Sus scrofa: one gene and its partner. The protein of the gene in region 1 purifies or fractionates together with the protein of each later gene. This does not show direct contact. Links are inferred from orthologs where the notes say so. Each region holds a gene or a part of one and is shown on either strand. Other genes may lie near its edges.

Region 1 (2,297 bases):
AGGACGGCCCTGGTCATGCATGATTGTTTTTCAGAAGACATGGTCCCCGAAACCCCAGATTTGGCACAAAGAGCTGCCACTAGAGCGGTGGGCAGGGCGGTAGGTGACCTGGCCCCAGAGCTGTAAAGAAGCCGGCAGGAGGCAGCTCAGCTTCCTCCCTGCCCACAAGAGCACTTTTTGTTTTCTGACAGTTGCTAGAGTCAAGGGGCCAGAGGAAAGGCCCTCGGCTGGGCCGCACCCTCCAGGCCCCTCCTGCCCTGGGCTTTAGCTACGACCCCAGGCCTGCTTCCTGCAGCTCTCAGGTGGCCTGGTCTTAGAGCAACCCTGCTTCTGCAAATGCCCGGCGCTCCCCTCAAATCAAAGATTATAAACTTGTCCCAAGTCCAAACCCTGCCCCTGGTTCCATGGGTTGAGACGTGGGGCGCCACCAGGGGGAGGTGGGGGCAGTCTCCCTGGAAGATGGAAGCCTCTCCTGCTGGAGCGCCTGCGGCCACGGGGCCCCCAGCCTCCTCTGCCCAGGGGGGCCGATGCCTCGCCTCCAACCTGCACCTCCTGACAGGACCGAAGGTGCACCCCCACGACCGCCACGGTACGTAAGTCCACAGCAGGCTGACGGGGCCACCCAGAGCCTGTTCCCTGCGGTCCGAGCCGTCAGATGTCATCTTCGACGGCACCGCTGTGCTCGCTGAGGAGGTACCACTTGAGCCTGTCAGGCAGAGGTAGCGCCTTGACCTTGGTGTCCACAGGCCACGGCTGAAGGTAGAGCCGGATGTAGACGCGGCACAGGTGCTTGAGCGGCGGCGGGTAGCTCTCCAGCTGCCTCAGGGAGAAGTGAAGGGCCTGGATCTTTCCTGCCAGGCTGCCCACGGGGTGGATGTCGAAGTTTTCGGGCAGCTGGAGTTTGTGCGAGTTGGTCACCATGAGGTCCAGGACGGTCTCCGCCTTGCGCAGCAGGTCCACGTGGCTCTCGTCCTCGGCGCAGCCTGGGTGGGAGCAGAGCCGCTCGAAGATGATGTGGAAGCCGGACCAGCAGGACGCGCCGTGCAGGGAGCAGTTATAGGCGGCGCCGGACTCCAGCAGGAAGCGCAGGAGAGGGAAGTGCAGTTTGAAGCTCTTGAGGCAGATGTGGGTGAGGGACTCGTGCGCGGGGCACTCGCTGGGGTCGGCGCCGTGAGCCAGCAGCAGCCGCGTCACTTGGAAGCAGAAGCGGTTGATGAGCTGGGCCTCCTCCTTGTCCCCGCCCACCGTCTCCCCCAGCAGGAAGATGATGCAGGTGAACACCGTGTCCCCGTCTTTGGTGGTGGCCTTGACGTCGGCCCCTGGAAGAAGAGGGGGGAGAAGGCCTTAGACCCGTGTTCGGGGCGGCAGGGGGAAGCCGCGGAGGCGGCGCCGCCGCGTGCAAGGGCGGCCTCACCTCCTTCCAGCAGGAGCCGGATGTTCTCGGTGTTGTGGATCTGCACCCCGTCGCTGCTGGCCAGAGCGTGGAGCAGGGCCGTCTTCCCTGGGGACGGACAGCGAGTGAGGAGGAGCGGGGAGCCAGGAGGCCGAGGTCAGGGCGGCCCCGGAGGTGCGGGGAGACAGACGCTCAGGATCCGAAAACAAACTTTAAAGACAGCTGACATCTCAGCTACGGTGGAGGGTGACGGGTTTCCGGCCGGACTCCTCACTCACACAAAAACAGCAACAGGGGGCCGGGAGATGAGGAATTTTTGGATCCTGAGATGCCACCTGAGACCTGGCTGGGTCTCTCCCAACAGAAGGCCTGTCCCTCAGAAGCTGAGCACACACCCCCGCTCCCTCCCACACGGCCCTCGTGGGGCTGGCCGTGCCCTGCCTCTGGAGCCCCCGCCAGTCAGCAAGGGCACCAGCATGCGCCCGGCCTGCCCTCCCATGGCCCCCTGGCCCAGGCGCATCCCGCTTTTCCACGGGGGCACCTACCGTGCTTGTCGGCCGCGTTGACGTCTGCGCCGAGGTCCAGGAGGCGCTGCAGGCAGGGCAAGCGCTCGGGCTCCTCGCTGGCCAGGTCCAAGGGGCTGCTCTCATGGATCTGAGCCAGGAAAGCACAGCCAGGTTGGCCTGTGGGCTGCTCAGGACCCTACCGCCTCCCCCTTCGGAGCAGGCTGGGCCTGGCTCTTACCCGGTCCCTCCGGTTAATGTCGGCCCCGTGGCGCACCAGCAGCTCCACCATGTCAGGCTGGTTTCGCAGGACGGCGATGTGCAGAGCCGTGTAGTAGGTGACCGGGTCTGAAGGCGCAGACGCAGCCAGTCAGCCCTGCCTGCCCGACAGCACATTCTCA
Region 2 (3,629 bases), on another chromosome or scaffold:
TATGCACATTTAACTGTAATATTTTAAAAAAGATTTTATTGGAATATCTTTTTGTTATTCTATTTGCTCAGTCTGTAAGACCATGTACAGGAAATATAGTTCAACCAGAAGATATTTTTTAAGAGTTATTTGCTGTCATCTTAGTTATTACAAGGAGCCCTATAAAATGTTACCAGCTTTCCAATGATTTTACAAACTTATGATATTTTTTAAAGGTGTGATTATATTCACTTTCTCTGGATCTAAATGATTTAGGTCATGAATACATTCTACTCCACAGATTTGGAGAAAATCCTAGGGTTTGTAGACTACCTCACATCTGGAAGATTTAGTGCAAGCTATTAAAAAATGTAGGGTAGCAGAAATAGTTATACTATTAAAATAAAGAAAGAATCAATTACATTTCAAAATACACAGAGAAATAAATCATAAAATGATTTTTTTATGGTAACTTTTAGATTACATGCATTAGCTGGGGAAACATGAATTGAAAAAAAATGTATTTTTTTCTTAAAGTGCTGCAATATACTATATATAAAACCACAAAAAAGTCACCAATATAACCTTTTCTTAATTATTAATGTCCTCATATATGCAGTGCTGGAATATAGGGACAGCCATAGGCTGAGTAAGTAGAGCTGTCTGCTTTTATACAAAAGTTCAGATCACTCCTGCCTTACAGTTCCTCCTTTTGCCATCATCTGTCACCTCTGGCTGCTATCAGTATACCTGTCTCTAAGGAAACACCACACACATAAGGCATTTAGCAGTGCATGGTGCATAGAAAGCACTGAATAAATATTTGCTATTATGGTCACTCTCCTTCCTTCCAGTTTGCTACTTCTGACCATTGAGGATAAGAAGAAAGAATGGAAAGCGTGTTAGAACTGTATTTAAAATCGCAGTAAATATGCTCAAGTGAGGTCTCTTCCCATGAATACAATAAACAACAAAAAAATTTTACTGTGGCTTTATTATAATGCCTGGCACTTTGCGAACTGCTTTACACATAAAGTATTTCATATGATTCTCAGTGCACTTAACAATGTGGGTACTCTTATCATTGATAATAAGAAAGGCTCAGTCACATTAAATAATATTCTGAAGGTCATATACAGTTTGTAAAGCAGCAGAGTTGTTTTTGAACTGAGTTGATCTTATTCCAGGTTTTGTGGTTCTAATCACTATGCTATACTGTACTCTATGAAGTTTTAAAAAAAACCAAAACAGAACTGTTTCTTATTAAGCTCTAGATAGAAGTTTGTTAAATATTCTTGTAAATGTTAGATTTTAATGATATATTGGAAAATATTTATTGACTTTCTTGTTGTTGTTCAACATCTGCTGCTTTTATGTAGTGATATTCTGATTTCCTTCTGGGGACATTCTTAGCCCACGTGGCTCCTGAAAGACTTTCTTCTACCCCAGCCCAGCAGTAAAGCATGTGCCCTGGTCTAGCCACTCAAGGTGATCATTACCTTGGCCTAGAGCAGCTTTAAGGATGGGTATGTAACCTCAAAACTCAGACATAATGAGGCTTTGCCTGGGAATGTGCATCTGTATGTATGTATGTATGAATGTGTGTATGTGTATCTTGATCTTCTGAATATGAAACTGCGAGGCTGAGAGGTCTAAGCTAATGCTGCCATCTTGCTTTCACATGAAGTCTGAAACTGAAGCCAACTGACCTGAAATCAAAGCTAAGAGAGGAAGACCAAGACCTCATAATATTGTCTGAATGCAGACTTAGGCTATGCCTGAAGTAAGCCCAACTCCTGGACTTTGGAGTTTACATGATTCTTTTTTGTGTAAGACAGCTTTGGTTGGGTCTCCTGTCACTTGTTACCAGAGTCCAACCTGAGACAAAACAGCATCTGTATTCTTCTCTGTTAGGTGTTTAAGGCAGAGGCAGATTTCACCCTCACCTGGCCCACTATATTTGTCATTTAGACTTGGTCTCAATGGTACATGACACAGATTGTGACTTGGCCTAGTATCCTAATCTACCTCTGGTCATGAAGAATCTGATCCCAGCCTTACTGTTTTGGCCAAGTCAGATATAGCCTTTCCATGAAAGAGTTTCAGATGTTAAACAGCTTATATAGATTAGATAAAATTTAGTCACATCCCTTGAAAGCACAGTACTTACAGTAAGCAAGCTAGAGGAACTCAGCGTATTCACCCAGTATTTATTCCACAAAAGCTCAAGCAATTTTCGATCCAAAGAGGACTTAAAATATGAGACTTCTAAGGCATAGTATCTATGAAAAAAAAGCACAATAATCTGGTAAGTAAAACAATAATTCAACCACATCATATAGAGGTTAAGGTCAAATTTAAGTGAATTATACTTTATATCCAAATAGTCATATTTTAGTTTTTAGTCCAATAGAACAAAAGATTAAAAATAGTTTCCTTACTCTTTAGGGCCATGGCTTCAAATCTTCTATTAACTAAACACTCTTGTATTTATTTCTTTCCTCTATAGAGCCCAGAAATTCCTAAGAGGTTAGCAAGAACTAAACAGAACTACTGAATGACATGTGTTTATCCATGTCATTGAGTTCATAAATTCTAGTCAATAGCACACAAACTGAACTACCTCTCTAGGGTCAACTATAACTTTTGTTAAGCTTTTAAAAATACCCAAAATAACATGTGGATTCTCCACTCCTACCTTTCGAATTCCCTAAGTAGGACCTACTGCTTTTTGGAAAAGCAAACTTTAAGGTAGGTCCTTAAAGCATGTAAAAGAATTACTATTGCTTCCAAAGATGCCTAATTTATAGTCAGAGAGAGCAAGGAAAATTGGGTTAAATGTCTGAAAAACTTAAAAAAATTTTTTTTAAAGTAATAAATATTTAAATACCTCCCTATATTCTGTACAGCAATGGATACAAAGAGATACAAGGGACTTCTTTACCTAAGGAGCTTACCCGTTTTTATGAGAAATGTGGAATGGATCCATGAGAAGTTAAAAGTAATGATGTATGTTGAAAAGCAGTAAGTGATGCTATAGTGCATATTTAAAATTAACCACCCACCAATTAAATGTTAGAGATAATGAATACTCTTAGTATGGAAAGAACTGCCTGAGAAGCCCTAGGGAAACAGTAGGATTTAGAGTAAGTCTTACATGGGCCTATAGTGTGGATGTATCGAGAGCAAGGAGGGAATCAGGCAGAGAGCACTGACTTACAAAAAGGAAAGTGAGCAGATGTGAGGAGAAAAAGGCTCAGACTCAGGTTAGTGGTATGAAAGATAAAGACACATGGGTACAACAAAATGTGTATTGATTTAATTCAGGAGTGAAGAAATAAAAAAACAAAAGTAAGAATTTAAAGATATCAGAATTAAGTAAAGGGCTTTTCAAGATCAAGATATGTGTATGTGTAGATAAAGGACACAGACAGTAAAATGTGCAAGTGGAATAGTCTATTTCTTGAGCACCTATTATGTTCTGGTGCTTTACATACATTGTCATTTAATCTTCCCTATAACCATGCAAAGAAGGATTTATTATTCCCATTCTACAAAGAAATAGCTCTAGAGAGTACAGACCTTGTTCAAAGCCACACAGTTAGAAAGTGGCAGCAAAAGGATATGGTAAGTTATGTCTGTTACCAAAC

The links. Proteins that work in one complex are often made in the same cells at the same time.
Region 2: the proteins of ASB6 (region 1) and COPS5 purify together in Homo sapiens (affinity purification with mass spectrometry; 3 studies listed by BioGRID and IntAct, with this or other methods). This does not show direct contact. The link is inferred for Sus scrofa from reciprocal best matches to the Homo sapiens genes ASB6 and COPS5.

The regions. Positions count from the first base shown.
Region 1 is NC_010443.5:269,829,189-269,831,485, forward strand, and holds the end of ASB6 (ankyrin repeat and SOCS box protein 6), read right to left. Parts: intron 2,245-2,297; coding exon 2,138-2,244; intron 2,048-2,137; coding exon 1,939-2,047; intron 1,502-1,938; coding exon 1,415-1,501; intron 1,320-1,414; coding exon 652-1,319; 3' UTR 551-651; downstream 1-550. UniProt on the Homo sapiens protein: Probable substrate-recognition component of a SCF-like ECS (Elongin-Cullin-SOCS-box protein) E3 ubiquitin-protein ligase complex which mediates the ubiquitination and subsequent proteasomal degradation of target proteins.
Region 2 is NC_010446.5:67,750,431-67,754,059, reverse strand, and holds part of COPS5 (COP9 signalosome complex subunit 5), read right to left. Parts: intron 2,262-3,629; coding exon 2,150-2,261; intron 1-2,149. UniProt on the Homo sapiens protein: Probable protease subunit of the COP9 signalosome complex (CSN), a complex involved in various cellular and developmental processes.